3 linked regions of the Drosophila melanogaster genome follow. The protein of the gene in region 3 interacts with the protein of the main gene of each other region in a pairwise test. Each region holds a gene or a part of one and is shown on either strand. Other genes may lie near its edges. The genes, in order: CG43107, CG14511 and CG30472.

What was found.
Region 1: the proteins of CG30472 (region 3) and CG43107 interact in a two-hybrid assay, tested with the Drosophila melanogaster proteins (one large-scale study listed by BioGRID).
Region 2: the proteins of CG30472 (region 3) and CG14511 interact in a two-hybrid assay, tested with the Drosophila melanogaster proteins (one large-scale study listed by BioGRID).

What each region holds. Positions count from the first base shown.
Region 1 is NT_033778.4:17,136,948-17,147,425, reverse strand, and holds CG43107 (uncharacterized protein), read left to right. Parts: upstream 1-6,560; 5' UTR 6,561-6,604; coding exon 6,605-6,796; 3' UTR 6,797-6,931; downstream 6,932-10,478. Other genes in the region: CG43103 (uncharacterized protein), read left to right, coding at 7,554-7,787; Gbp2 (Growth-blocking peptide 2), read right to left, coding at 8,687-9,935, 10,013-10,134.
Region 2 is NT_033777.3:29,140,410-29,151,381, forward strand, and holds CG14511 (uncharacterized protein), read right to left. Parts: upstream 6,485-10,972; 5' UTR 6,393-6,484; coding exon 5,424-6,392; 3' UTR 5,269-5,423; downstream 1-5,268. Other genes in the region: superdeath (suppressor of ER stress-induced death), read left to right, coding at 1,801-2,656, 2,720-3,436, 3,500-4,163, 4,223-4,428, 4,495-4,803, 4,864-5,089; CG11882 (uncharacterized protein), read right to left, coding at 6,784-7,471, 7,542-7,645; Pglym78 (phosphoglyceromutase 78), read left to right, coding at 8,041-8,143, 8,600-9,097, 9,160-9,326; eIF2D (eukaryotic translation initiation factor 2D), read right to left, coding at 9,531-10,822, 10,881-10,972.
Region 3 is NT_033778.4:15,417,601-15,428,728, reverse strand, and holds CG30472 (uncharacterized protein), read left to right. Parts: upstream 1-4,589; 5' UTR 4,590-4,673; coding exon 4,674-5,045; intron 5,046-5,104; coding exon 5,105-5,228; intron 5,229-5,285; coding exon 5,286-5,428; 3' UTR 5,429-5,544; downstream 5,545-11,128. Other genes in the region: CG34188 (uncharacterized protein), read left to right, coding at 755-1,129, 1,183-1,306, 1,381-1,496; Stacl (Stac-like), read right to left, coding at 4,324-4,470, 5,634-5,759, 5,833-6,012, 6,542-6,787, 7,086-7,202, 7,773-7,878, 7,945-8,053, 9,178-9,378.

The sequences.
Region 1 (10,478 bases), 1.7 Mb from region 3:
TGTTAGTCTTAAGTAACCAAGACACATTGTAAAATAAAATAATTTAAGCAGATCAAATTAAGTTGCCGCATGGGTAACAGTGCGTTGATCAAATAATAAAAACATCATAAAAAAAAAAAAAAAAAAAAGTTCTCAACACAAAAATTCTTGCATACTTTTGCTGTCACTACTAATTGCTAAGGTCCACAAACTGCGAGACTTGAGGACCGGGTTCGATCCCCAGTCTGGTTCCTATTTTTTCCCAACATTCTATTCTTTTCCTTTTTTTTTAGATTTTTACTACCTAAAAATTCTCTTCTCCCAGCTCCAACTTGTTGGCAACTTTGCTTGATATCAATTTATAATTTCTATTATCAAGAATAGCCATTTGTAATCGCTTAATTTAGTGCCACAAACTTTTACACAAAACGGAACACAAAATAACGAAAGCCCTGCAAAGAAAAAAAAATGGCCCCAAAAGTAATTTAACATTGGTGCAGTTTCCCCCTCACATCCGCCACATTTGCAAAACTCTCGAAAAAGTAGCTGAAACTATTTAAAGTTTCCTTTTTGCTGCCTTACCCTCAATGTGTATCGTACTTTTTATTGCCATTCGCTATTATTTGTTGCCCCTCTGTCGTTGCATATGCATATTATGCCCCCGAGGCATAGGAAAACACTTCCCCACCATCTCTGCCCCGGCGAAAGCCAGACAACAGCAACGACTGCGATGGTTATGAAAAAGTACTTAACGTGCACAAAACTTATGTGCCAAGAGATTTTATTTTTTTCTCATAGTCGGGTAAAAGTTACAACGACATGCCAATTTTTCAAAGGACCAGGGGGGCCGACACACATAGGTACTCCAAGGGAAGCGGGGTGGTCTTGGCAAGCTTATAAAATATTGCCAATAATACGTTGTTAGCGAAGAGTTACCTCCCCAAACGCAATTCTCCAGGCAGCCAAACTTTTAATGCACAAACAGAATAACGAAACTAGAGAACTCTATTCATAAAGGGCCCAGCATCCCCGCCACCACTCCCTATTACATTTGTCAAATAAAAATCCCAACAATGGCTGTAAAATTTATCAATAGAATTTAGAATTTACGTTTGAGAACAAACATAGATGACCGATCCAAAAAGTCCATTCCGACGATGCTTTTATGTAGCTCATACCTGATATGCTAAAAACTCCGTAAGTTCTAAAAATCATGTTACGCTTTATCCCAAAGCGAAGAGAGAGAGACATTTATTGTCCATTAATCTTAAAGTCACTAGGAATCGTTCAGTTCCTTTTGAACTTATCATAATAGCTTTAAAGATAATATTATGGATACTGTCCCCTAATTATAATATATACAAATTAACCGTCCGTGGTGGGGATGCATAAGGAGTTCACAGTATTCTCTTCAGACGTCGGAGGAAAATGGATTAGCGGCATGGGGGAGGGCTTTCCACAGAAGATAGCAGCGTCTGAGATCATCTTTCTACATTCCGAAATGGAAGTGGGGTTGGTTTTCTACACATCCTCTGCAAATATCTTGTCAGAGTGACTTGGTTTGACCTTGACACCTATAGACTCACAAACATATTTAAATTTATTTGCATAAAAGGGGGCACCACTCAGAATTCGCTCTATCCGTTTCTACCGAGCGATCATCGAAGCCCTGCGTCCCGAACGATGCGAGGCACCACAAAGAACACTGGGCAAATCCTCACGCTGCCGAATAGAACGATTCAACTCATCAACGCGGGTGCACTTGGCTTTCAGCTAGTGTGAAAGTATGTGAAGACTGACTACAGAAATGATCCTGTGAAGTATAGTCTTAAGTTTTTGCTGCCCAACCTGTGGATCTTGGTGCGCTGCGGGCCAGAACTAGTTGAGAATCACAAGAGTGTGCGCATGAACAAAATGAACAGCACGTGGGGGGACAGGCGAAAGATGTATTAGTGCGTTGATATTATAGGGTGGGAATAGGTTCTGGTTAATTTCTTGAGTGTCTTACAACTGTTGTTGGAACTGATCGGAAAAATACAAAGTAAATTGTAAACAAAAAAAAACTTGGCAGCGGTGGGATTCGAACCCACGCCTCCGAGGAGACTGGTGCCTTAAACCAGCGCCTTAGACCGCTCGGCCACGCTACCATGTTGTAGATTATGTCAAACGCTCAACAAGAGACGAGGCTAGGAAGCAACAGAGGCGTTCTAACAAGTTGTGCGCACATATGAAGTATCTGAGTCTGCATGTTTGAACTATTTTTATGGACGCAACACCTTGTCTTTATTTTCCCACCCACACCGCTCCGCATATAAATGCTCTCATTTGGAAAAAAGGAATGTCAATCAAACGAAATCAATTTCTGGCGCAAGCCTTACTCCTTCGCCGCTCTGCTGCATTAAAATGTTTATTATATGTATTTTGCAAAACTGTCAGCGTTTTTTCCTGGCAGCGTCAGCTTAGAAATGCGTTTAAAATTCAAATGAAAATGCGAATTTATGCGTGACAGGCGGTGGTCGTGGTCTCTTCGCTCACACATGCAACCGCAGCAACAATTTCTGGTCTTGGGCTGACTGGCGGCGTCCCGTTGTTGCAGCCATAAACTGAAGCCGGCATCGGAGTTGGGCAAAAGACTCAGCAATGAAATTAGAAAATTGCAATAAAAATCTTTGCACGGCACGGGCACGAGAAGCAAAACAAAATAAAGTCTGCGGTTTCCATAAGGGTGCTACCCATAGCCGAAATAAGGGGTTGTGAGGCAGCATTTGCGGTTTCATTAAAATGCCACCGAAAAAGGGAGCAAAAAGTCGGAAGCCGCGTCAGCAATGGGAATATTTTGCCACACACGTGGATTTGTATATGAATTTAAAAAGGAGCGACATGGAAATAATTATAAAATAGTTAAATTTCCACGCCAGACAACTGTTGGGAAAATACAAAAAATCACGTACAATCCGCGTGGACAGAGGCGAGTCATCTGAATCCGGCCAGGTAAAACGCTAATGGAGTTAATTGAGGGCATTATCAAGAATGTTGGGCAGCTGGTATGTTGGAATCAAATTAAATTTCAAACAATTGACAAATTGAAATTCCACCGACGGAAACTGAACAATAGAAGCATTCCAAGCGCTTTAGAAGAGGTTAGACGGATGTCCACTTAATATGCTCGCCATCAAGGAGCAGTAAATGAAATGAATGACTAGACAAAATAGTTTTGTCAAGACCGCAGAGCTGCGAAATCACTTGGGTCAGTAAGAAGTAGTTGTGGGAGAAATATCTCCAAAGAAATGCTGGAATAGCACAATTTCAAAGTATAATTTTCGGCCAGACGTTTGAAAACAAATCAGCTATTACATTCTCGTTTTGTCTCTTGATGTGCGTTTGACATAGACTACAACACGGTAGCGTGGCCGAGCGGTCTAAGGCGCTGGTTTAAGGCACCAGTCTCCTCGGAGGCGTGGGTTCGAATCCCACCGCTGCCAAGTTTTTTTTATTTACAATTTCTTTTATATTTTTCCGATCAGTTCCAACAACAGTTGTAAGACACTCAAGAAATTAACCAGAACCTATTCCCACCCTATAATATCAACGCACTAATACATCTTTCGCCTGTCCCCCCACGTGCTGTTCATTTTGTTCATGCGCACACTCTTGTGATTCTCAACTAGTTCTGGCCCGCAGCGCACCAAGATCCACAGGTTGGGCAGCAAAAACTTAAGACTATACTTCACAGGATCATTTCTGTAGTCAGTCTTCACATACTTTCACACTAGCTGAAAGCCAAGTGCACCCGCGTTGATGAGTTGAATCGTTCTATTCGGCAGCGTGAGGATTTGCCCAGTGTTCTTTGTGGTGCCTCGCATCGTTCGGGACGCAGGGCTTCGATGATCGCTCGGTAGAAACGGATAGAGCGAATTCTGAGTGGTGCCCCCTTTTATGCGAATTAATTTAAGTATATCTCATTATTGTGCTTATGTTCTTTATAGTATTTAAATTGTTTTCGGATTTAGTCTCCATGTTCATGTGACATAATTTTACCTTGTGCACTCCTACTTAAAGAACGTTTTATACTGCTATAATTGAATATGCAGCGCAGTAAACCCTTCGGTCCCCTGGCAGTAATAATATTGTTCTTTCCGACCGCTCTAAACACTGTTGCTGCTGTTGCTCTGCAAAGCAATTAAAACAGCACTTGAGGGGCGACCCTTTTGCCGGTACGCTTGTTGCCAGTTTCAAGTGTTTTTGTTGCACGTTGACAGTCCGTTAAAGGTGACACAGGCGCCACCCCACGAGAATTACATATAAAACATTTTAGTGGGAAGCAGAGTTCCGCTTTTTGTTGCTTCAAGTGCGCTTCGTGCTTAAGACTTGGCAGTGAGTGGTCGAAAAAACTGTAAATTTGTATTAAAATTTTCGCTAATGGTTGTGGGGGCGTTGGAGCTCTAATTACTCAACGCTGCATATGAATGGTCCTCGAGCGAGGGCGTGATTTTTGGCTTAATTCAGAGCTGCAACGATCTCAATTAGTGGATGATGACTACTTGCAAGTGCCATCAAGTAGGTCCTTGGCGAACTTTTCCGAGTTCGTGTTTTGGTTGGCAAACTGCTCCACTTCGCCGAGATGCCCCCAATCCTATACGTAAGACTATAGTGCATAAATATTTGAGTAGCTTGTCTGTTGCACGCAACAACAATTATGTGTTGCCTAGTTTTTGTCAACTGTCCCATTTGGTTCTGCTCTGGGGCCTCGTTTTTTGCCAATTCTGTTGCCAAAGACGAAACAACACGTAGTGAAAATTTATTTAAGCAATGCAAAGCAAATACGAGTGCCAGTTTGGGTACAGTGCGTTTCATGACAGGCAAGTTATACATATGTGGTGACCCGGAGATCAATAGGAATTGAAGGGAAGGTATTTATTACTTTAGAATTGATGAATTATTAACATTAACTGTAAATATCTTGACTAAAGGTAATTCTGCGCATAGAATAACATTGTGAAACACAGTGTACCTCTTTTGGTTCACTTACAAATGTCGTATTTTTTGAGTGCTTACATAAAAACACATTTGAAATGCGGTTAACGGAAGGCAAAGGAAGTCGAAGGGAAATGGAAAATGGAGCCGAGGGAAAAAGAGAAGCAAGCACAGCACAGTCGAGGCAGCGCCACCTAGGGGCCCGAATTGACATCATTATCGTCATCCCCGGGCCAATCGATGATGATGATGATGATGCTGCCACTGATGGCAATGCGGCTGATGCCGTAATTGATGCCTTTGCGACATGCTTTCCCAAAGTGTTTACGTTGGGAATTACCCATGTGTGTCACTCGGTTGTATGTGCATGTGTTGGTAAGGGGTGTGTGTGAGCAGGGGCATGGGACCACGCCCCCAGCTAGTTGACAGCCAGCCGTTTACGTGCACTTAATGAAATGTGCCCCAAAATGGAAGCACGTACCGGGCATCTATTTAATGAGCCCAGCAAGAGGTTCTTCCTGCGCAGAAATTTCGAGAGGGGTCGACTGCAAATGGCTGGGTGGAATTTCTAGAATATCTAGTGTTTGAGAGTGGGCAGAGCTCATGAAATTTTTAAATGTCGCAGCTTAAATTCAATTTAATTTAGCTGCAATGGCTGCATTATTCAATGGCACTCACACGTAAGCGGCTCAAGAAAGTCCCCCAAAAACCTCCTAACACCATCGAAAACCTCAGACCAAAAGCACCAGCTCCAACCGCAGTTTAAAATTCATGTGAGCTTTTCAACAATTTTCCCAAACAAAATGCGATTAAATGTGCGGAAAATGCTGAGCTCTTGTTCTCGGTTTTCCCATGTTGTTGCTGGATAAGCCACAATGGGTTAAGGCAATGTCTTGTTTGCACATGTGTCGCTAGGGGGCGCCACCCCGTAGACCTCCGCACGTCGCTTCAAAAGTCGGATATGTCGGAAAAGTCGGAAAAGGAGTTAAAGCGCACACAGCACACACACATGCCGAAGGTGCAAAAATGCGTTAAACATAACATGCTAATTCCTGGTGCCTCCAGCTTCAATCTTTCACCTGCCCAGGTGAAATTCCCACACCCACTTATATACATTTATATGTATGTATGTATGCAGGAGCTGCCATCCTTGGGCCCTCGGAGATCGTCCTGCGGCAGGACTCGTTAGCTATGTAATACGAGCGTTTTGTGTGCCATTTGAGACCGAAGTTCTTCTCTATTTCCTGCCATTTGCCTTTGTGCTATGTGTTGGTTTTTATTCCCTGCCAGAAGGTATTTTCATTTGGCTTTCGGCAGTTATGGTAGTTAAGGCTTTTCTGTTTGAAACAATTCTATTCTTTTAACAACTATTCTATTTTGAAGAAAGTTAAGCTTAATTGTTTTTTTATATAATCGGGTATTATTGTCATGGATCTTATGTTTAATTTTCTTTCTTCTGCATTTTGACTTAGCTTATGAATTCACTTCGAATTCACTAAATATAATTTGGAACTGATTCATTCCATCGATCGTAAGTTTCGTAGCCCTGAAAATATATATTTTTTAAGCTTTTGAGAGCTTTTCCCCTCTCTTATTTATTTACGTGCAATCAGTTGATTCTTGCTTGCCGCCAGTTTAGAGTGTTTTTGTTATGAACAGTTCCAAAAACGATGTCCGTTCTTCCTTTAAATACGGGCCAGCTGTCCGGATCGGAATCGCCGTCCTGGTGCTCCACACCGTCGGCTGGCTGGGTTGGAAGGCGGTGAACCAGGGTGCGGAATCCAAGGAGGCAGCAGCGAAGGCCCAGCAAGAACAATTGCGAGCGGTATTCGCAGAAAAGTGATATAACTATGGATGATAACACCATACTGGTTAGCAAACCACCACGGACTGAGTGCATTTTAGATAGTTATTGTTAGAACCCTAGACAACTAAGTGTATTAAAAGAAATAAAAGGAATTGTTTGCTTGTTTGTTTTAAAGATTTTATTTTAAGCTTACCGTTGCTAAAAGCTTTTTATACCCTTGCAAAAGGTATATTGATTTCCGTCAGTATGTAAATAATCGAAAAATATAAGGAAACAAATTAGTTTCAGTTATACCATTTTGAATTTAATTTGATAACAATCGGTCGAATACAAAATAACACATATAGCTGCGTAGTCTGGCAGGTTTTGATCATAAAATAATCGTATTCGTATTATGCTGCAATTGGTAATTTATTAAAACGGTCACAAAAACATATGTGTACATTTTCGCAGTGTGACTTATTTTGACTTGACTTGCTTATATATGCTTATGCTTATATTGTGCTTAACATGGGTTACTTTTAAAAATACAAGTTTCTCCGCATATGTATGTACTGATGGCTAACCAATATTTACTGGTCAAGTTAATACATTTGGTAAATTTTAAGTATTGTCTTTTAAAAACGATCAGAGAGAGTGGCTTTGGCTTTCGCAATCTCTCCGAAAGCCCTCCAGATAAAAGCTTTGCCAGCTTTAGACTGAGAAATCAGCAACATATAAGCCAAGCTAGATTCAGTAACGCAGTTCCCAAGCCGGAGGCTAGTAGTCGAGTCACCTGGAGAAAACCGCGAAGATGCTATCAAGATCCGTGCTGATCGTAGTAGGCCTACTAATGCTGAGCTGGCAGTGGACGATGGCCATGCCGCCCCTTCCGAAGAACCAACCCAGCGGAGTATCTATTAGTCAGCCCGATATACCGGGAGCCTCGGATATTTTGGTGCAGAGCATCTTCAACATCGATCCATCGCTGTGTCCCAAGGGGTACATACGCACGGGTCCACATCACACGTGTCGTAGGATAGCCTAGGAAGACAAGCTCTGAAGATCGATTTAAAGTTCAATATCAGAACGTGCTACAAGCTGTGTTTTTATTGATACTTAAATAAATTCTATATAAATACTTGCAATTCTCACATACATATTTAAAAAATACGACACATTCGGTTTATATAAGTACAGGTTCATTAAAGTTAATCAACTGATTGTTGGCACTGATGAAATATTGTTTAATAACATTGTTATATTTTATCTGTTTACGCTGGTTTTCGGCATCGATCTAGGTACAGTTGAAAACCAGGCGAGCATTTCTTTTCCACTTGAAGAAGTAGTTGTATCGCCGTCCAAGTGATCAGATATAGCCATCTTTTAAGTTGGAGCGCCATTTCCATACAATGCACTTCGTACAACAATCGCTTCAAAACTAATGTTCTACGGCGATCAAAAAAGTTAGCTTTTATGTAGGGATTTTCCCTGTTATGTGTGTGCTCTTCAAGATATTGATAAAAATGCGCATTCCATTTATTTGATTAGTCAATGTAACCAATTACACACAGCTTTGTAATTATACAACTGTAATTCAATATTGTAGAGATAACGTTTTCTAAATTGATATATTTCAAGAAAAATGATAACGTATTGCAGCTTAATTGCATTCAGCTGATTAATACAATTTGTGATGTTCAAAAGCTGTTACAGTGGTATACGTAAGCTACTACGAAGTCATTTTTTTACCGAAGAGCATGCTGAGGTAATCTCTGGGAAATTTGTACTTCCAATCTTGCATAAACAACCTTATCAGTTGAATAAAATGCCCCAAAAATTGTATGTCTCAATTATTACACATAATGACAGATTTAATGACACAATGAAATATGTATTGTGAACATGAAACAGTATTAATCAGAATTTCATTTGAATCCGAATTCCCTAGGCTTCCTTCCTGCAACGTCCTGCCATGAGCTTGAGTCCTTCTGCACACTTGGGATCCAGGTTGAAGAGACTGCGCTGATTTACCGACTCTGGACTTGCTTCCTCAGCATCCGACTTGGGATCTCGGTTGGCTCCAGGCGCTGTGCTCAATTCTGGTGACAGAAAATCATGGGTGTTGAAGAGGTCGTTGATGTTTTGGTCAACATTGTCAGAAGATTGAGCTCGCCCTGGAATAGGTTGGATCACAGAAGACTGCGGATGCCCGGGAATCGGTTGAATTGTCTGCGCTCCGCCAGATCCCGCAGTTTCGTAATCCTGGCCGGGTCGAGGCTGCAAAGTCTTGGGGGACTGGAAATTGAAGTCGGAAAAGTCTTCATCTGCGCTTCCGGGACGCGGTTGTATGGAATTATTAGAAGTACCAGGTTTCCGTCCCTGGTTTAGACCTGGTTGTTGAAACTCTCCAGAATTCTGGTCTGGTTGTTGGAATCCTCCAGAACTCTGGTCTGGCTGCCGGAATCCTCCAGTACTCTGGCCTGGCTGTTGGAATCCTCCAGTACTCTGGCCTGGCTGTTGGAATCCCCCAGTACTCTGGCCTGGCTGTTGGAATCCCCCAGAACTCTGGCCTGGTTGCTGGAATCCTCCAGTACTCTGGCCTGGCTGTTGGAATCCTCCAGAATTTTGGCTTGGTTGCCGGAACCCCCCATTATTTTGGCCTGACTGTTGGAATCCGCCAGCATTTTCATTTGGCTGTTCGAATCCACCAGGGTTTTGGCCAGGTCGAGGCTGTAGGGTATTTGGATCACCACCCGGCTGCTGGGGTTCCAATCCTCGAGGGTAGGTGGGTAGCTCCTCATGGCTGCCAGATTGTTGATGTCCTGGCGCCCTTCCAGATGGTTGTGGTCTATTGAATTCATTTCCTGGCTGCTGAAAACCTGGTTGGCCCCTGTTGAAATCTCCACCCGGTTGCTGGAGGCCTGGATGTCCCCTGTTAAAATCACCTACAGGGTAGGGATATTCCTGTTGTCCTCTATGAAAACCACCTCCATGTTGGTGAAATTGACTGCCAGGTTGTCCTTGAACTGCACCGACGTTCGGATAATACGGTTGACGACCTCCTGATGGTTGATTATCTGGATAATACGAAGGAGGCGGTGGAAAACGACCGAAGACAAAGGGAGGTGGTCCAATGGATCCTGGGCCATATCCTGACCCATGTACGTGATGACCATGGTGGCGATGATGGTTCCTTAATAGAAAAAAAGTATTAGTGATACAAATATTATAAAATCATAACAATCTTATTAATTAATTTTAAATACTCACGGATATCCATGTCCGCCGTTTTCCACGTAGTAAGGATTCTGGGGACGAGCTGAAGTCCATTGTCCACTGATTAAAAGGATCAGTGACATAGCCAACCTTATAGATAAGAGTTGCAAAAACATTTTCGACACGAAATCGACCCAACGGCAGCGTTGAATATTCAAAACAGACTGAGCAGCGCTGTCGAGTCGAGAACAGACGATCTAACCGAGTTTAGTATTTATTATGAGCCGCTGATAAGCCAAGTTCATGACAGCAGATAAGGCATCAAATTACATAGCAGAAGAGTAGGGAATAACTGATGCAGCTGAATGCACCGGGAATTGTTTGAGTTAGACACTGACTCACAGTGATGGCCACCAAACTAAAATTACTGCGTTTTACACGACGCTAAGTTTCCCCCAATAGCGTTTCTCCCACAATTGTGATTTGGGTTTTCTATGGGTATTTTTGTCTGCCTCCGAAT
Region 2 (10,972 bases), on a different chromosome or scaffold from region 3:
TGCTATAAATTGGATCCCCAACGAGCGCGAGCGACCCAGGGATACGGACCCCATGGAGGCGGGATGGGATGGGCGGAGTGGGCTGAGGCGGATGGAGGCGGCGTATCATTTGCAGCCTTATTTTAATGAAGGTCATCGAGCCAGCGACGGGGTTGACTTCTGTACATGGTTGTCGGCGTTTAATTGCAGCAATTTGCAAAAACAGCAGCAGCAGTAGCATCATCAGCCGAAGGAGAAAGAGCAGGGAGCTGCAGATGCTGCAAATGCTACAGAAGCTGATCAAATTAATGCCATAACTCAATTAGCCGGCGGGCGTATTTGCATGAATATATAAGTTGATTTACGACAATGTTGTTGTTGCCCGCTCAATTTGTGCTTAAACTTTTGCCAATTGATAATAGCGCTGCTCTACGAGGAGACATCTGTGTTCAGCTACAATCTGAGAGGCTGCTGAGGAAACTCGCTTTTAGTATATAAAGTAGTCCCAAGAATGGGTCCCCTGGGCCATTGACATCGCGATAGGAACGTCTTCAATCAGACATAGTAATAGTAAACCGAAATGTATAGCTATTCTAGCAGATTATTTTTAGAGCATATACAAATATTCCTTTCTTCTTAATTTAAATGAAACTTTTCCCACTTTCATTGACTAAAATTCGACTTTCCCAATATCGTACTAATTGTTAAGATCACGATCGCGATCTATTAACATGTATTTATAACGCTCTTCCTATTTAAAAATAATTCCTAAGTTATTAAGTGTAAAAATCAATTATCGCCTTGCTTTAATTTACGTCTAAAATCATCATAATTGTGTGGGTTGCTTTTGGATTTGATACGGGGAATTGGAAATGCCCTACGCATATTCCAACTCCAGCAACAACTTCTGAATGGGAAATATTGCGAATTTAAATATATATTTCAGTCGATGACACTGGCAGTGGGAAACACCCTTCCCATCCAGCCAGTTGCAAGTGGCTACCCAACGGAGCTCCACTAAAAAACCCGCTAGGTGACTTAAGCTTATATTTAAGTCGCCGCGTAAGCCAGCCATTAATATTTTCCAGTCTTAGTGGGTGTGTTTCATTTTTACAATTGAGCACGAGCACAAAAACTAGGTAGTATTCCAACCCTTTTTCATATAAACCTATTAATGACATTAATCCTTACATCAAGAACAATTGCTTCAGATTTTTCAAATACTTTACCCAACCAGAACCAAGCGCTCTTGGTTTAAGTAGCGTATAACAACGTCTTTATCGACTAAGATATTCTGCTGGATAATACATCATTTTGCTTATTACGTGAGCAATGATTTTTTGCTACTCGTTGTAAAATCATACACTTGTTTTCCCCATCGACGATGAGCTAATGAATCAGTTACGTTCTCTACGACCCCTTCTGAGCAGCAAACTAAACGGTCTCCTACTCGAAAACCGCAAGCCCTGTTCGCAAGCCCCTTCCTGTGGCTTCGCTTGTCAGCCACAAGGACATGGCTCATGCCCAATTTACGCAATTTAATCGAAACACCAGATAGCCAAAGGGGTTGGCACCGGACCAGAGAAACCACTTAAGTGGAACCCCGAGATTGCAGAATGTGCAACCTGCAGTTGGATATCATATTACTTGGGCTCATATTGAAAGCTACAGCGGAAGTGGTTGTGGAAGTGGTTGCCCAGATCCTTCTTCCTGTTTATGAATTGGGAACTGCATTTACCTTATTAGGCTACGACTTAATCTTCCGTTTTAGTTATTGGTTTATGTTCATCATTATAAAGTTTGATTCATCTTCTATTGCAGCCATCATGGTCGTTAAGGAGATACCGCTCCATGAGAATCTGAACATGGAAAGCCGACCCATGAATGCCGCTACGCCCACCACTACCACCACGTTCTCGAAAGGCGGGCGTCGCTACAGTGTGTCCCTGACCACCGCCATTCTGCTAGCCTCCTTCTTCATCTGCACCCTGCTAGCAGTGGGCTTTATTGTCTACAACTTTGCCACTTGCGCTGAACTGGAGCCCGATTCCGATGAGGATGTTGTTTGCACCAGCTACCATTTGAGGAGGCTAAAGGCTGGACATGATGACACACCTAAATACGATAGAGATGTCCGCCTGCCGCACTCCATCCGCCCGCTTAAATACAACATCACAATCGAACCGCAGCTCAGCGGCAACTTCACCTTTGCCGGTAGTGTTCAGATAAGGATAAGGGTGCTGGAGGATTGCTATAACATCACTATGCACGCTGAGGAGCTGAACATTTCGCGTAGCGACGCCTCCGTCCACCGAGTGCAGAACAATGGTGAACCGGAAGGCGACGGTCTGCGGATTCACAAACAGTACCTGGTGGGGGCCAAACAGTTCTTCGTGATCGAGCTGTATGACAAGCTGCTCAAAGATGTGGAGTACGTGGTGCATCTACGCTTTGATGGCATTATCGAGGACTATCTGCAGGGATTTTACCGCAGCTCCTACGAGGTGCACAACGAGACAAGGTGGGTAGCTTCTACCCAGTTTCAGGCCACAGATGCCCGACGAGCTTTTCCCTGTTTCGATGAGCCCGCGCTGAAGGCCAACTTTACGCTGCACATCGCTCGTCCTCGCAACATGACCACCATATCCAACATGCCCATTGTGTCCAGCAACGATCAGTGAGTATTGCCTTTGCTATCAAAGTAATCATTCTATTTAAGTGTAATCTTTGATCTTCTTAGCGCCACCATGCCAAGCTATGTGTGGGATCACTTTGCCGAATCGCTGCCCATGTCCACCTATCTGGTGGCCTATGCCATATCCGACTTTACGCACATCTCATCCGGTAACTTTGCCGTCTGGGCTCGAGCGGATGCCATCAAATCGGCCGAGTATGCCCTGTCCGTTGGTCCCAGGATTCTCACATTCCTGCAGGACTTTTTCAATGTAACGTTCCCCCTGCCGAAGATCGACATGATTGCTCTGCCAGAGTTCCAAGCGGGCGCTATGGAGAACTGGGGTCTAATTACCTTCAGGGAGACTGCAATGCTTTATGACCCAGGTGTAGCCACGGCCAATAACAAGCAACGAGTGGCCTCGGTTGTGGGTCACGAGTTAGCCCACCAGTGGTTCGGAAACCTGGTAACACCGAGCTGGTGGTCGGATATCTGGCTTAACGAGGGGTTTGCCAGTTACATGGAGTACTTGACGGCCGATGCAGTTGCGCCCGAATGGAAACAGTTGGACCAGTTTGTGGTTAATGAGCTGCAAGCAGTGTTCCAACTGGATGCCCTTTCCACATCCCATAAGATCTCGCACGAGGTGTTTAATCCGCAGGAGATTTCGGAAATCTTCGATAGAATTTCCTACGCCAAGGGTTCAACTATTATTCGCATGATGGCCCACTTCCTCACAAATCCAATTTTCCGTCGGGGTCTGAGCAAATACCTGCAGGAAATGTAAGTCCTTAGAGAATGATAACCGATTTATACTCGTATATTCTAAAATTGGGCCGCTTTCAGGGCTTACAACTCTGCAACACAGGACGATCTGTGGCATTTCCTTACCGTTGAAGCCAAATCCTCTGGGTTGCTGGACGACAGCAGAAGTGTTAAAGAGATCATGGATACGTGGACGCTGCAAACTGGCTATCCGGTGGTTAAGGTGTCAAGGCATCCCAACTCCGATGTGATTCGTCTGGAGCAGGTCCGCTTTGTGTACACCAACACCACCAGGGAGGATGAGAGTCTCCTGTGGTACATACCCATTACGTTTACCACTGACTCCGAGTTGAATTTTGCCAACACCCGTCCGACTACATGGATGCCGCGCACCAAGCTGTACGAGCTGGAGAACAGGGAACTCTCCTTGGCCAAGTGGTTCATTTTCAATGTTCAACAGACAGGTTACTACCGCGTCAACTACGATCTAGAAAACTGGATGGCGATCACAGAACACCTGATGGATGTGGACAACTTTGAGGACATTGCTCCTGCGAACCGTGCCCAGTTGATCGATGATGTGATGAATCTGGCCAGAGGTTCTTATCTGTCCTATGAAACCGCCATGAATTTGACTCGCTACCTTGGCCATGAATTGGGCCATGTGCCGTGGAAGGCGGCCATCAGCAACTTCATTTTTATCGACTCCATGTTCGTCAACTCCGGCGACTACGACCTTCTAAAGGTTTGCTTTTAACCATTGGGCGTGCTATAAATATTATTTGACATTTCTGATTCTCACAGAACTATCTGCTTAAGCAGTTGAAGAAAGTCTACGACCAGGTGGGCTTTAAGGACTCGCAGGACGAATCAGAGGACATCCTGGTGAAGCTGAAGCGTGCCGATATTCTGAGCATGGCCTGTCATTTAGGTCACCAAGAGTGCATCGCGGAGGCGAGCAGGCACTTCCAGAACTGGATGCAGACGCCGAATCCAGATTCAAATAATCCGTAAGCAATAAACGAAGTAATTAATACACTCAACACAATTCCAATAAATTATTACTTCCTTTTCAGCATTGTGCCAAATCTCAGGGGAGTCGTTTACTGCTCTGCGATACAATACGGCACCGAGTACGAATGGGACTTTGCTTTCGAGCGCTTTTTGAAGACGAACGTGCCTGGGGAGAAGGATTTGCTGTTGAATGCACTTGGCTGCTCCAAGGAGCCCTGGTTGCTTTATCGTTTCTTGCGTCGCGGCATTTCCGGACAGCATATCCGGAAACAGGACTTGTTCCGGGTATTCGCAGCAGTTTCCACCACGGTAGTGGGCCAGAACATAGCCTTTGATTTTCTGCGCAACAACTGGCAGGAGATCAAGACCTAGTAAGTGGCGAAATTGTCGCTTTATTCCGTGCATTACTAAAGGGTTTGCATTTTTTCCAGCATGGGCTCACAGATGTCCAGCATCCACACGCTGTTCAAGTTCGCCACGAAGGGCTTCAACTCCAAGTTCCAGCTGGGCGAATTTGAGAACTTCGTGAAGGACGCCCACTGGGACTACGACAGACCCGTGCAACAGATCGTGGAGCACATCGAGACCAGCGTCGACTGGATGAACAAGAACTACAAGTCGATCGTGCGGTGGCTGGAGAACGAGGCGCAAGCGTAAGGAACGGATTCTGCGGCTTGGCTGGATCAAGGCTGCAGCAGTATTAGATTTCGCAGCTGCAACTGCATGGGTTGGGCCACCAATGCATTTATGTGTAATATTTATGTCGCGTGTTTTACCAATTCAGAGTCGCCAAAGAGAGAAAGCCCTTGGCAGATCGTCCAGAGCATCACGTTTTTCATTACTTTTAATGTATGCCTTCTTTTCATAACAATTATGAGTCTTGTAATTTTAATTTGTACTTAAATGTAATTGTAAATGTAAATGGAATTATAACATTGTTCGTCACAAAAAAGTTTTGGAAAGCCTATTCCTGTTTCACAGCCTGGTTTTTTCATTTCGGAACTCTGATCACATTTGCAAACATCAAGGTGCCCACAAAGACTAGCGCGGTGCCCAGCCAGTGCCACCAGGTGAAGGGATTTCGGAAGTATACGATCGAAAAGACCAGCGAGATGAACTTGCGGAGTGTGAGGATCAGAGTCACCGTCAGCGAGCTGCACTCCGTGGTCAGGGTGTAAACGGAGCTGATGCACAAATGCTGCGCAAGCACGTTGCCCAATAAGTATAGCAGGATTAGGGGCACTGCCACGCCCAGGAGGGGCAACTGGTAGGACTCGCCCGTGAACGCCAAAAGCCAGTGCGTCCGTATGTCGTCATGCATGAGCAGGAAGGCGGGCAGCGGCAACAGGTGGGTGTAATACAACGCTTCCCTGGCGCACTTGCCATGACGTCGATACAGCAACTCCTGTGTAATTCCCATGTAGGAGGAAACAAATAGAGCCAGCACCAAGAGTGCCACGCCCAACAGCCACCAGAACGTATCCGCCTCGGCGCCACTATCCAAATTCTCCATCTTACCCACCAAATCCGGACTGGAGAAATATGTGCAGACGAAAATGCCCACGCTGATCATGAGCACCGATATGTACTGACTCAACCGGTAACTCCTCTTCAGGATCAACGTGCACAGGCACATGTTGGAGATCAGCGAACCGCCGCGTATGATCATGTGCAGTGTCATTGGAACTTTGAACTTGAACACGTAGTTGTTGCATACGCTGGTCAGGAAAAACATGGCCACGAGGAGCGCATAGTCGCGCAGGCTGATCACTCTCTGGGCCAGGCCAAACTTCGAGGTGAAGATGAAGCCCTCGAGGGCAATAAATGCAAACTGGGCGCCAGTTATAAGGTTTCCAGCGCCGGGATCCAGTTTAACCAGGAGCTCCAAGAAGACGACGCCACTGCAGCAGCCCAAGAAAACGCCGCAGATGGCCGAAATAGCGCGGATGGATAAATTCATGAACTCGCGCAACGAAAGTAGACGATTCCCACCAACTTTAACCTACGATCTGGGCCATGACGAGCTTTTAAGCCAACTTACTTTCTCTTCGGCCATACAAAACGTAAACAAATGCAACAGGTGGTTATCGATAAAGTTCGGTTCGGGCACAGCTGATGTTGGTCTATCGAAAGTGGTTGAAATTCAAATATTCCAAGCGAAAAAGAAAAAATTTATGATTTTAAGAGAAGAATATTTTATTTAATGTACATTACATTCAAAACCAAACTTAAATATGTTGCCTAATCACATTCGAAATATTCGCACCAACAGTCTTTTACAACAATTACAAAATACAATGATGACAATGCTAAGAAAGAAATTACAGATTAGCAAATTAATGGTATATTACTTATTTTTCCTTTTCCAGCAAGGCAATAATTTTGTTTAACTTTTCCGTCTGCTGGGCCTCGAAGTTGTCCAGTCTCTTAGACACTAACAGCGTCAGCTTCTCAAATCTCATGTCGATGTGCTCCTTGAGGATTGCAACATCGGTGGAAGGCGGTGCAGTCTCTTGGGTTTGGTCCTTCGCCTGCGGGGAATAGCCCTTCATCAGGCTCATGAACTGCTCGAACTTTTCGGCCTGCTCCTCCTTCTTCAAGGGACTCGTGCCACCCCTTTGCAGCAGCTCTTGGATTCGCTGCGCATCCATTGGCCTGGGCAACTGGGTGGTTATGCCGTTGGGATTCGGCGCCACCTGGAGCAGGGCTCCGTAAACGCAGATCTCGCTGGCCGAGGTGAGCATCTTCAGGTTTATGTCATTTATCCCGGATCGGTCGATTTCCATGTCATAGCGATAGGGTCGCACCGCAACCTCTGGGTCCTCATCGTCGACGCAAGTGCCGTAGATGGTCTCGCAGTACTCCTGCAAGGGTCCAATGAACAGCTCCACCTTGGGAGCGCTGCAAATCAGGGTGAGCGCGGCGATTTTGAAGCGGTTCGGGATCTGGAAGCGCAGCTCACAAGGCGGCGGCGGATCCGCCGACTGCATGGAAAACAGCACGGCGCGATTCTCGTCGATCACGTCGTCCAAGTCGGGCCTGCGGACAAAGGAGGTTTCAAAATTACTTGATAAAAACCAGTTTCGGGGCGTGGAATCCTTTGTCTCACTTCACAAAGACGTCTTCGTCGGACAAGCGGGTGGCCACCAGTTGGTCCAGCCCGTTGCCCGACAGCTGGGGCCAAGTGCAGCGCGCGGTGACCTTTTCGCACATGCTTTAAGTGACAAAAAGTTGGAATTTATGGGAGCAAAATTTAAAAACAGCCAAATTTAAAAACCAAAACACGAATATAGTGATGACAAACGCGAGCGATAACATCTGCGCGGGGGATGCCAACCTGTTGCACAGCGCAAACTAATTGGACATTTGAAGGTAGCTTGACGCGCTATTCCAATAAGACCATACTCCGGAGTCCAATCAGAGAAGGCACCGCATCTGCGCACTACGTTTTTCCAACAGAACGGCAATATCGCGGCCTGACAGCTGCGACCTTGGACGGCTCCCTTGTAGGTCAAACTTCAGCAGAATTCCCACATATTGCAGTCGCAGCAAGGCGGCAGCTTAAGAACGAGTACACAATTATCCGCAGAGTGATCAACGCAGCTAAAATGGGCGGCAAGTACAAGATCGTGATGGTGCGCCACGGCGAGTCCGAGTGGAACCAGAAGAATCAGTTCTGCGGCTGGTACGACGCCAACCTCAGCGAAAAGGGTGAGTGATTACATCAATTTGAAATTTAAACCTCATATGTGGGATTAAAAATCTGATGTACATCTAGTTTCCAATCGATGATCCTTTGCTTTGATCAGTTTCACAATAGTATTCCTTTTCATTTACCCAAATTAATCTTCATTGACCTAGTGCAACATTATCTCATTCAAACTTTTCTGTGATAAAAATAGGTCTCTACAAACAAAAGCTTTCCAGTGCAATTTTCAGAAGCATCAAAATTCTAGTTTGTTACACTTTAAAGTCAAAAATTTGCCATCTCATATGTTTCTAAAGTTCAGATTATGCTTATGAGCATAATTTGATAGGTTATCGCCTTTTTTTAACCCTAGTAATCAAATTAAATTAAACGCATGCCTTTCAATTAGATTAAATTGGCTTACGTTCGTTACCCAACACGGCGTATACTTAATGTTCGCTAAACATTTGCCCAAACAGGTCAGGAGGAGGCCCTAGCCGCCGGCAAGGCCGTCAAGGATGCCGGCCTGGAGTTCGATGTGGCCCACACCTCGGTGCTGACCCGCGCCCAGGTGACGCTGGCCAGCATCCTGAAGGCCAGTGGCCACAAGGAGATCCCCATCCAGAAGACTTGGCGCCTGAACGAGCGCCACTACGGTGGACTCACTGGCCTGAACAAGGCCGAGACCGCCGCCAAGTACGGCGAGGCCCAGGTGCAGATCTGGCGTCGCAGCTTCGACACCCCGCCACCACCGATGGAGCCGGGCCATCCGTACTACGAGAACATCGTCAAGGATCCCCGCTACGCCGAGGGTCCCAAGCCCGAGGAGTTCCCCCAGTTCGAGTCCCTCAAGCTGACCATCGAACGCACACTGCCCTACTGGAACGACGTCATCATTCCCCAGATGAAGGAGGGCAAGCGCATCCTGATCGCTGCCCACGGCAACAGCCTCCGTGGCATCGTCAAGCATTTAGACAGTGAGCATGGGAGACATAACATATATCATATCATCTTTTTACCATATCCTTGTCCAATCCAGACCTTTCTGAGGACGCCATCATGGCCCTAAATCTGCCCACGGGCATTCCGTTCGTCTACGAGCTGGACGAGAACTTCAAGCCGGTGGTGTCCATGCAGTTCCTCGGCGACGAGGAGACCGTGAAGAAGGCCATCGAGGCTGTGGCCGCCCAGGGCAAGGCCAAGTAAGCACGCAGGCCACACCTCATGAGAATCCACTCAAATACGGCACAAGTCAGAGCATTCTGATTACGCTTCTGTTCAAGATGTAGCCAATCCCATTCGTTGTTGTTGTTCGCGTAGCAGTAATTGGTTCATCCCCACTACAGTTAATAAATAATTTATTATTACACTCAAGAGGACAGGCGGAGGAGGCTTCATTTATTGTCCGGCTCACTTCTTCTTATTCTTCTTGCCGTCCTTGGCCAATTCCAGGCCCAGGATGCACTTGGGCGGCACCTTGTACGTTTCCGTGAGCAGCGTGTGCACAAATCGCACCTGGTTGCCCTGGATTTGCAGCTGCTCGTGCTTTTGGTGCGGCAGTTTCACCACACTGGTGCTGGCGGCGGCTCCCTGCTTGCACAGCTTGATGAACTCGGCCAGGATGATGCCGTACGCCTCGATGTTGCTGACCAGCGTCACCTTCTTGTTGCCCGATCGCGTGGCCAGGGACATCTGGATGAGGGGCTTCCCGCTCGTATCTTTGCCGCTGCACATCTGGTAGGAGTGCTCCATCTTGCTGGTGATGAGGGAGCACATCTCGCTTAGCGAAACCTCTCTGTTACCATACAGCTCGATCAGAGTGTCGTCGGGGCGCACCAGCTTGGTCAGCGGATGGAGGAGACCATGTTTGCTCACGTACTCCCGCACAATCTTCTTGATCTGACCCGCCGGGATTCCCTCGCCGCGCTTGTAATTCAGCTTGGTGAAGAAGGCCGCCGTAACATCGGTCACTATGTACATCTCCTTCAGCTCGGAGTGGAACAGGGGCGTCTCGGACGCCGCTCCATTAGCTTCGCTTGCCTTGACATCGGTTATAAAGTTCACCACTTCGGGGTGCTCCAGGTCCACAGATGTGATTTTATCCACTCCCTTGCTCTCCTCCCGCACCACAATGAATCCTTGGTCCACCATCTCGGCCAGAAAGTTGGAGAGCTTTTTGTAGCGCGTCTTCTTCAGGTCGATTTGCTCCGTGGCCTCCGTGACCACATAGAGTCTGTAGAAATTGCTCGTCAGCAGAGGCAGGGGCAGCTTCTTTCCATGGTTTTTCAAGGCGGAGAGGAAGGCATTCTTGAGTATAAGTTCTGGTGAGGCTTCCTCCACGGCTTCTTCGTCGGACTCGGGAGCTTCCTGGCTTTCCAAGGTCAGAGCAGCAGTTTCCGTTTCCAGTTCCTCGGTTTGGGCCACCGTAGCGAAGGTCACAGGAGCGGGAGTAGCTGGGCTGGCGGTCTTTCTCCTTTCCGTCTCAGACCCAAGAGCAGGGAAATCCTCGCCAGACAAGGCCTTTGTCTTGACCAGCGGGATTTGCTGCACCAGACTGGGCTCATGCGACCAGAGCTTGTCCCCAAAGAGGTGGAGCATCTTGATGGCCACACCGTGACCTCCGCACATGTACAGTTCATCGCTGGAGCGAGCCAACTGGCCCACGCCCACCGCAGATTTGTTGTTTGTGAGGTTTACGGCCACTGAAAAAGACAATGAGATCAATACTCGTTACCTGGGGAATCCCAAGCAGATACCCACTCAACTGTCCCTTTTTGAAGTGCCCGTACATGCTCAGTCCCACGCCCAGGGGCACCACTCCGGGCAGCATGAGATCCGCTCCGTTCGTCAGC
Region 3 (11,128 bases):
CGAAAGCCTCTTCTCGAGTTCTGCGAAATTAATCTGCTTTGCAGGTGGCCCGTTTGTGCATTTTAAATCAGTAAAAATAATTCCCAGTCACAATACGATTAATTAATTGAATGAGTTTCCACTCTCGAGCCAAATGGAATAATTCAAGCATATTGGCTCGGATGGCAACCGATAAGGGATATTCGCAGCAAAATGTCATTGCAGTAGCAGCACGCCATACAATAATAAATAAATGGGAAATACGACTTGGCTTCGGGCATTTTTGAAACAGGGCCGAAATGAAACTGAAATGAGGGAATAAGGAACGAAAGTCGAACGGACTGACTCAAGTGGTTGCTTCGCAGTCAAGACAATTCGAAAAATGCTTTTAAAAGGAAATCAGTAAAGGAATTTCGCTTATGGGCAACTGATTGTGCCATCGAATCGGGCGGAACAAGTTGAACAAGTACCGGAGGGTTTGGCGGAACAGGATGGAAGCGATTTTTTGTTGTCCGCTTTTGCCTTTATTTTGTTTTTCTCTTTCTGGCTGAAACACTTGGAAAATTGAATTGTTTTAGATTTTCCTTCACTTTGGGGCTCTCCCTGCCGCAGCGTATAAATCAAATTGGATTTTCTTGTGCACTTAACTCCGATTGACCGAATCGGAAGTAAACCCAAAACTCAATCACAGGCTATCGATGAAAAGTTCATTAGTAGGCTGGCAACGAATTGTTTAGCGGCATTTATTTCAGTAATCTATTGAAATCGGTTGAGGATGGCGTATATTCGAAATTTTCTGAATTCCCCCAATGACTGGACCCGACTTAATGAAAATATCAATGGAATAAAGCCACTGAATAGCTGCTTTTATTTCTTCAGCTTGAAAACGGGCTGCAATTTGATCGCCGGATTCGAAGCATTGGTAAATGTGCTACAAATGTGCAGCATTTACTTGTCGGAGATGGAGGTCAAGACCACAATCACAACTACGGAGTCACCGGATTCGATGCTTGTCACTAGGGAACCGGACGGAGATATGCTGGGACCCAACATGAGAACGCCTATGTTTGAAACTAACCTCTTCTTCCAAAAAGCACTAATCTCGTTGACTATCTTCAGATCAGTGCTACTTATTGTAGGTGCAGAATGGGTAAGTAGCTTTCATACGAGTTCAAATAATACATAATACTATACTCTTTCCAGAGTCACATATCCTGTCTCGTCCTTTGGATTTGTATTACGGTTATAACCTTGTTAATTAGCACTTGTAATGATATCATGCAAGATGACGAGCTGCTGACTTTTCTCTTTTCTACCATTTCTATTTGTGAGTAAAGAAGTAGTAGTAGTATGTGTATACCCCTTCTTAACCCTTAACTTTCGTTTTAATACAAATTTCAGTTCTTGAAATCTATTTCTGCGCAGTGGTTGCCTCCTTGGTTTTGAAATTGCAGCAAAAACTTCGTCGTAACGTGCAGGAATCGGAAGTGCTGTTCACACGAATGGAGGAAGTTTAATTAAATTCAAGATAATTAAACTATACATTTAAATTTGCAAGCTCCTACTTACAATTATTTAATTTTTACTTGTGTTGTTGCATTCCCAAATTGAAAAAGCATGTACTCATAATAATTTGGAAAAAAATACACAATATACTGCAATACTTTGTCATTTTCATATCTAAAACAATGCTATATAATGCTGACTTAAAAGCGTTTTTAGCTTAGTTATATGGTAAAGCATATGGTAATTTAAACAAATATTTCATTGGTAGTTAAGTTATAACATGCCTGGCCACTACAACCAATTTTTGAGCTACATATGTATGCACAGATTGCTACTTAAACATGCGTTTATTGTGGCTAAGTAATTGCATTTGCATTCAAAATCATGAAACATACACGAGCGGCGCGAAAACTTGCACATTTGCATGGGAAAATCCAGCAAATGTGCACACTGAAAATATAAAATATCGGGGTGTAGGAATCTCAAAAATTGATTGCACTGGCAAATTGGACAGGAAACAAAAGGCTGAAACGCTCGTTATCGCGATAACGAGTATTTCATCGTCGAAAATTGAAACCAAATATTGAGAGTATCGAGTTTAAATTCAAATTCTTACTTTTGCGTATGGCGATTTTTTGGGCGGTTCTCGCGAGGAGGTGGCCGCTGCTGCCGTGGGCGTGCCGCGTTTGTTGGGCCGATTCTTTTTGAGAACGATAACGCGCATGATGTGGCAGATATATATATATTTATTTATGTATATATTTTGTGAGAGAGGGGGTGTACGTGTGTGCGTGTGTCTCTCGGCTACTGGTATTTATTTACGCAAAGTGTTTTTAACAAACAACAAATTCGAGGTGTCGCCGTGGTCGCTAGTCTCTCTTTCAATTTTTCAAGTGATGGCCGTTCACAAACGGATTTCCACTCCTCGCGACATCGAAGTCGGATTAAGATATAGCTTTCGGATTTGGATTCGGATGCGAATTCAGATGCGGATACGGATGCGAAGTGTGTTGTGGGTGGTTGGTAGTTGGTAGTATTTTGTGGTTACAAGTACGTGTACGGGTGCTATTGCGACTGCACCCACATTCGGGTGGTGCGGTGCAGGCACAAAGGTCACGAAATTACAAAATGCAAAGCGAGCCGAGCCTCTAGCTCTAGATAGATTTTTACATAGTTGATGTTGCAATTACTGAGTAAGAATAGGTTAAACTACATCTAGATTAGCAAAGAGTATTGGTTATTTACAGTACATACGAGCTAGCTAGATTGATTGAGTTGTGTTTTATTGGCATTAGTTTGCACTAGCTTCTGATTGGTGAAATTAAGCGCTTGGCCACGAATTTCGACTACTTGGCTAGAAATTTGTTGTAGAAGGCAGGCAAAAGATTTGAAGTAATTCTGGCAGTGCTACATTAATTCGTTTTTTGTTTATTTATATTCTTTTCTATTTGTTTTTTGATTCGAATTCGTTGGGCGCACGGTGCGTATGCGTGATTGGTTAATAAAGCTAAGTTATTTTACATGGACTGTCGACTAGTTGGTTGCATTACTATTTTGATCATCGTTTGGTTACTTACGCGCTGCACTCAATTCAATTTATCTTGTGTGTGGCTATCAAAATAGAGAACAACTCGCCTAGAAAAGCCTGCCCTGAACTGCGCTCTAAAATTATGCATATATATTAGGAGGATATATATATATATATGAATGGTGTCTGTTTTCGGGATATATATATATTAATATATTTCAATTTTATTTGGATTTAAGGTTTGTGTTTCGTTTGCATTGGTTTCTTAGCTAGCCCCTCCAATTGCGCGATTGGCAGCCAATCGCACCTCAGTCGCGACGAAAAACGACGACGACGGCGCGTTTACGGATACGGATACGGCTGCGGAAGTACGGCTACGGCTACGGCTACGGCACTACGGCTACGGCTAATTTGTCGAACGGATCACCCAAGAGCGGAGCTGGCGAGCCGCGTTACGTATACGTCGAAGTGCAAGCACGTGACTGACTCGGAGCGACCGTTGCACGCTGCTTTTATAAACAGCTACATCGGGAGATGGCTCGAATGTCTGGCAACGCTTCGCATGCAATTTTCCGCGCGCGCTCTCTCTCTCTCTCTCTCTCTCACTCTCTGTCTCTCTCTTGCTCTCTCTGAAGTGACTTTTCCGAGCCCTGTTCGGCAACAGCTGATTCACTTGCAGGCCCAGAGGTTGAGGTTACAGTCAAAAGCCTGATGGTTTTTCCCAAACTCCCACGCAGTAATAGTTTGTCACACCAGAAAACACAGAAAATCGCACAGCACACGGTGTAATTTTGACTGAGTAACTCTCTTGTGAGGACCGCAAAAAAAAAACAGGGACCTAGCAAATGCAGGACAAAATCAAGCCAAACAGCCGCACTGACCACGCACAAGCTAATCTACCGCAGGACTAAGCGAAAGGCGAAGGACGAACCTGACCCACAGTTGGCTCCTGCTGGCGGCTTTCAGTGCTCCAAAAAGCGAGGGAGATGGCGAAACGCTTGGGTCACATGCGCAGTCGCCAATCAGCTGTTTGACCTACATACGAGCGCCAGTTCATCTGTACTTTCAAGCGTGCAAACGGGGGGCGTGTCGGGCGTCCCGACCCCGCCTAATGGAACTCATTAGATCTCGGCCATGAAAAGTTCACCCAAAAAGCTGTCAGCAACAGGTCTGTGGAAAGCTAAGTGAAAGCTTTTCCATGGCATAAACTTAACTTCGAAGTGGTTTCTTTTGCTGCTTTTCCAGCTTTATCGTGGTATATTTTCCCGCTAAACTTTATAGCTTTTCACCCCGACTAAATCGAAACTCACCTGAGCCCTTATGGCCGCCAAATGGATCTGCTTGGCTCGCAGGTCGAACTTCTTCATGGACAAATCTTCTTGAAGCTCATTGACCTTGTTGTACAGCTGACCCTCGATTCCACGGGTCTGCGTTCGATTTAGAGCCTCGATGGAGTCCTACGAGAGGAAAAGTAACCAGTCAAATTGATTATTTAAATAAATATTTTTGTAATAGATCTTGTAAAAGTTTACAATTTTTAAGAATAAAATGTATTTGTAATATTATAGATCTACTTGTAAAAGAAGGCTAGTTAAAAGCTTTCATAGGCAATACCCCAAATAACATATATTTAACTATCATTAAAAGCAATTTCCTGAAAATGTCTTCTAATGAGAATTGCCAAGGAAATCGCCGCATTTCGGAAAATCAGCATTGGAACAACATAAGGCTCAATTGTAAGGCCCTCCCAAGATTGAAGAGCTTCTTCTACTTTTTCGATTTGGAAAAAGGATGCAGGATTATAGCGGGCTTTGAGGCTTTGGTGAGCGTAATACAGATATTCAGTATATATCGTTTATCCAATCAATCAGTGCCAAGTTATATGATACCTGATCCCTTTTGGATCACAAAAATCGATAGGGAAGGAATAATCAAAAGAATGTTGCTTTATCATACAAGTAATCGTTTTTGCATGGGACTCGGATTGGTTACTGTTCTCAATTCTCTGCTGTTGCTAATTGGAAGCAAATGGGTGAGAGTCAACAGATGGTATTCGAATATAAAGGCTAATACCCATACTTTTTCGTCAAGGGCCACCAGGTTTGCCTCTTTCTTTGGATTTATATAACGGTATTCACCACTCTCATATCGAATATAAATAATAACTTAAGGAACCCAAATTTTGCACAAACTTTTCTAATAGTTCCATCATTGAGTAAGTGCCAAAACGTGAAGTCATTGCAAAAAAAATAAACAATATAACCTCTAACAGCTCTGGAGGGCTATTTCACATTGATAGTCGCATCTTTAATTTGTAAATTCCAAGACAAGCAAGATGAGTGTAACTCATACACCGAAATGCACACTTCAGATGGCAAAGAGTGCAGTTCTATCGAGAATACCGAACAGATATAAGCGGTTTTTTAATTGTATGACTTTACATAGTTTTTTGTGAAAGTTAAAGGATAACAGAAAAAAAAAACAATTGTGATATTGGCCACCCATTCAAATAAAATCTTTGGAAACATAACAAACCATTTTTTTTAAGTACCGACATGGCTGCGATATCGTACTGTGAGCTTTTATCATTTTGTGTATTATTGTGGATTATTCATCTCACCTGCAGCTGACGTATTTGCAATTCCAATTCGATGGCCTCCCGCTTCAGCGACTCCAACGCGGAGCGTTGTGACAGTGTGGAGTGCCGGTCGAAGACCAACTCGTTCCGCAGGCAGGGCGTCATCTCCTGCGGCGGACAGGTGCCCACAAAAACAATCACTTTAGTCCGCCGGACAGGTGTTATATGCACTACTACTCACGTTGTGGTCGCCCGCCTCCTCGCCGACCTCTGCTTGCGGCGATGCAAAGAGCCGTCTGGGAATCTTCTGGGCCTGCGATGGTTGGGCCAGGAGCCGGACGAAGTTCACTAGATCCTGTTGAGGTGAGACAGCTGCGCACTGGTTGCTCAGACTGTTGTACCGCTTAGCTTGGTCATTGGCCTGCGGAAAAATTATGATTTGGACACATTATTGACACAGATGTTTTGGTTTCCCTTAAACTGCAGTTGCATGGAGACTTAACTTATCTTTATCTTTACTTTCATATTAAATTGTGCAGTTCCAATACCCTTAAATTTTATAGTTATCTAGATCCTTAAGCCCTTCTATATTCTTCTTTGTTTGAATTTTATTCCAGTATTTATTGTTGTATATTTTTTCATCGAGCTACCTACCAATTCATATATGTTTTTTTCCATTTCCTCATACCCTACACCGGTAAAAAAAAGTGTCGCAATCATCAGGCAGGACCTGCCCACGCATTAGGCAAATTACCAGGGCAAATTGCTACACCGCGCAATTATAATAATCGGGTACAAATTACTGTCCAGGAAACAAAAGGTGCTGCAGAAATTAACTCGAATTCGAGGTGCCACTGGGCGGGCAACTACCACTATCACACTATACCATGTTTATGGGGTGCGACAACCACCTGCTGCAGTGATAAATCACTGGTCGGCGGGGCACTCACCTTGCCGGCAATTACTTCTGCGCCCTGCATCAGCGAGTCGGACACAATGGCGACCAGGTCGTTGTGGATCTCCTCCAGCTCCTGCATCTGCTGGGGCAGGGTGTCCGTGTGGTAGGCCTCCAGCATTCCATTTGTGGCATGCAGCTGCTGCACGTACGCATTATGGGCGTCGATGTATTCGGTGAGCGAGTGCTGGCTGGGATTCTGTCGGTGGGCCAGGTGGCACTGCTTGTAGTCCACACGGCACTGTGGATGGGGAGAGAATGGCAATGGCAATGGCAATGGCAACGGCAACCAACAAAAGGGAGGGGGTAAAGGTTCACAAGGGTTGGGTGGTCAATTTATGGGTAATCACAGAAAAGGGTAAATTGGCACACGCACAATGGACAGAGCATTTGACGGGCAATTGGACCGGCCCACACTGCGTATGCGATATTTTCTGCTTGAACAGAGTTTTAAGGCATCTTAAAGGCCTGTTCGGTAAGATTACTTTTGGGACTTCAAAACCTTGAGGACTCAACGCTTTTTTGTTAATTAAACTCACCTTTGACAGCTTCTCTTCAGTCTTTGCGATAATAGTCTCAAAAGACTCCCTGTGTGTAAATATTTTACGGCTTTGAACTTTGCGATGAAAGGATTTATCCAGCATTGGTCGCGACACCTAAAGAAGTGGGTAAATAAATTATGTATGGCATATCTTTCAGTCCCCTGCCAGTTTTACGAATGAAAAAAGGGCAAATCATCGTGAAAAATGAAAATTAAATGTGTAAGCCAAGTAAAACAAAGCAAACGCCGCGGCAAAACAACATTATTCGGCACTCGAAAAACATATGTCATTTCCCAAGGCCCCGCAGCGCCACGCCCCCACTAATTAACCATAATTAGAGTCTGCCTTTTATAATGCAAATTGGGATTTTTTTTTGTGCTGCCTCAAGGCCCCAAAAACACACATATGGCTAGCACATCCGATCGATGTGGTAACTGGTACAAATAAAAATTATCATATATTATTATTAGTATAAATCTGGCTATTGTTTCAAAGGGAAAGTAAATCAATGAATTCCCGCATTAAGTTAATTAAAAATATTTTAGGGCAAGTGCACAACAGTCGTCCGTAAAGTTCTATTTTCAGTGAAGGTAACTGAATATTTAACGCGACACGATAATGCCATTAACCCATTTCGGTTTCGGCAACTTTCTCGACGAAAACCGTAATTTAAGGGACTCTCACCTGGCGGGAAAGGACGCTGGCCACGTCGTTGCAGGCCTGTGAATCGGTTTCGACCTCCTGCAGGAATGTTTCCCATGCCTGAAAGATGGCCAAGTGGCAGGCGGGTCTGCACGCCACTCGGTTGGGTTTTTGGCAACTGAATTTGGCTGGGAAAATCGTTTGGGCCACTTACCTTTCTTTGCGTAATTCGGCATTCTTCTTGCGATAATTGGACACCGCAACTTGGAGGGCAGTTGCGTGTTCCTCGTACAGACGGGATAGTGTTTCGGAGAAATCGGATACTGTAATTGAATTAGGTTGAGTGAGCTTTAAGGTCAAATAAAACTAAGAGGCAGTCACGCTTTATGACGAGCCACAAAGTGCATTAGACACACTGAAAGCACCGGAAACGGATATGCCAACAGGGGAGAGGTGGGCACTTCCGGCTAAAGTCTTTGTGCTTTTCTCCCAAGGCAGTGAACAAAAAATACCTTAGACAATAAAATGTATTTATTTATTTACTTTTGAAACATTTAAATGTTTTAAAAACTTTTTACGAGTGTGATTTTTTCACATTTCCCATACTTTGGTTTGCCTGTAACAAAAGTAGCCAGTTTATGCGCAGTAAAGCACAAAAAGTCAGCCTCTTTAAAAGGATTGACTGTCTGTTGGATAATCCATCACATTTACGATTACTCAGGCATATATGAATATGGATGTTTGGCTTTTAGCCACTTAAGCTGCCAGTTTATGGCCCAATCGTTTTATGGCCTGCCAGATACGCGATTATAGCGTCACGGCAACAGGTTGTCAAATGTGTTGAAACTGAAAAGTTTCTGACACTGTTGTAGGCAACTTTAATTTAATCAATAATTTTTTATTCCAACTTCTCTGATTTCACATGCAGTTCACAGCAAAAATGTTATTAAAAACTTTACAGGCTACACAGAACTACTGGAAACTCTGATGTTCGCCAGTGCCAAAGGTGCCATCCGCTGGGACAACTTTCTCCGACAGCGCCGTAATTCAAAGTCAAAGTTATGTCGAAAAGTTGCAGCTGTGTCAGGGGATGTTGTTCGTTGGGTAAACATACTCATAGTTGGAATAGCGAATTTACGAGGCTTTGCTGGCTGAAGAGCCTCTGCCTGAACTGATTTATGTCTCAATCTGACGAACCGACAAAGACAATCGGCAATCGAAATCAATAAGCCATAAAAGCGACTACGGAAACTTATCAAATAAAATGCTGCCACATAAATTGCTTTTCGTTTTCCCTTTCAGGGCGCAACCAACGCCCGCTGTTTGTCACTTTTTTGTGCCACCTGGCGAGCGTGTCAGGTGTGAAAGTCTGGCACACGTCACGTGTACTCCCATGTGTCGGAATGGGATAGGAGTTGGAAATATATTGGCTTCTGGTTTAACTCACCTGTTTTAATTAACTTAAAGTTGACATTGTTCTGTGATTTGAATGCCTCGTTCAAACTGCTGTGACTGTAATCCTTGAGCACGCCGTTGTAGGACGCCATGCTGCCGCCCTGGGGGCTAAGGGAACCACCTCGTGGTCCCCTCCACCCAAAGATCCTCCTCCTACGACTTCTTCGACCACTTGAAGATTTTACCGAAGAACCTGCCGACGACAATATCGTTATCACTCACTGGACTTACAACAAATGTAATCCATTTTTTACTCAAACCAAAAATTAATCAACTCGTAAAACCAAACAATTAAATAAGGAAAACAAACAGAACGCAGCATAAATTCCAAACAAAACGAACCGAATTGAAAGCAAACAAATGAGAATTTCCAAACGAAATGTGATTTGATTTCGGGTGGTGGGAGTAAAGTATCCGTCAGGCAATGTCAGGAATTATTTTGGCCACGCCATAGTAAATACACAAGTCGGCCCTCCATTCCCCCAAACCCCTGGCCAATCAAACAGATCGCTGCCTTTTGTATTTATGCATAAATAATGAGTGAAGGCAGCTCCCCATTTGCCCCCCACGGCCTTTCACTTTTTCTATCGCTCCTATTTTCGCCTTGCACCAAGACGGAAATTCGAGTATTTCAGTCCAAGACAGCTCCTTAAACCCGAGCCCCATTACCAAAGTCAACAAAAGGACTCAAACAACAGCGGGCAAAATGGTGGTTCACCCCCTTGAATACTAAGCTCTAATAAATGATTTGGTTAGTTATTGGTAATTTAAGAATAAAACTTTAATTTTGTATTTATCAAGCAATGGTTCTCAAAAAGGTTTTACTTAAAGATAGAAGTATACCATCTCGATTTAACACTAATAAAAATTAGCTGTGATGCTTTTTAGTCCTATATCTTTAAGCTTTACTGTATGTAGGTTCCTCTGACTTGCTGGTCTTTAGTTCCTTTTTGCTCTGATGTTTGGCGCCAAAGTAAAAGCCAGGGAAGATGGAAGTCCCCTCATTTAAAATTCAATCAATAAATGAAGCGTAATTTCATTGCCGCGCCGAGAGTCGAGATTTCGTTAGAACACATTCGCAGCTAAAAAGACTCGGGGGTCCGTTTGTTTGGTATGTCTGGAGATTGTTTCACCCGGACTCCGCACTCCACCACTCGACCCCTTCTAACCAAGTCCAAACCCACTGTCCAAAGTGTCTGTCGTGTTTGTTTGGACACGCTCACACGAGGCTCAATTACTGTCCGACTGGTTGGCCCAATGAAATATGTAGGAGCTGCAGCGGATCGCCCACGAAAGTGTGCTTTAGAAATTATTAAAGGACCCGGCTGCATGAAATGCTCGGCTGTCGCATCCTTTTGGCCCCGTCCAATTTGAAGTAACATTGCCGGAATAAACAGGGCGTGTCCGAGATTTCCAGCGATCACGTAGCTCTTGATTTACTTTGCCGCTGGTCATCAAATTTGCCGCGCTGTGAACTTTGAAATGAATTCCAGTGGGTGGGCCTGGTGCTGTTGTTGTTACCGGTGGTTTAGCAGGATCTCGGGCTGTTCGAGCTCACGTGCCAGCTGCAAGGATGTCGTTATCGCTGTTGTTGATTACACTTCACGCGCTGCTAAGCTGACATTCATTTCGAAACGCCAGTCTCAACTGGATGTGCTGCTCCTTTTGCTTTTGCTTTTGCTCCTGCCCCTACTCCCACATCAGTTCTTACTAGTTTTCCAAACGAATTATGTGCGTGCCTGCATTTGGAGAATGCGCTCCAGGCACGCAACTCAGTTGTAGCTCCAGTTGCACTCGCAGTTGCATCCACGGGCACAGGTAATCCAATTATGCATGCGAGGAGCAGCTGTGGACCCCACTCAAGCGATAAGGTGGCACGATGGATATGCAGATGGGAAATGGGAAATGGGCGGGCGAAAAGTCAAGCATCCTAAGCACTTTAA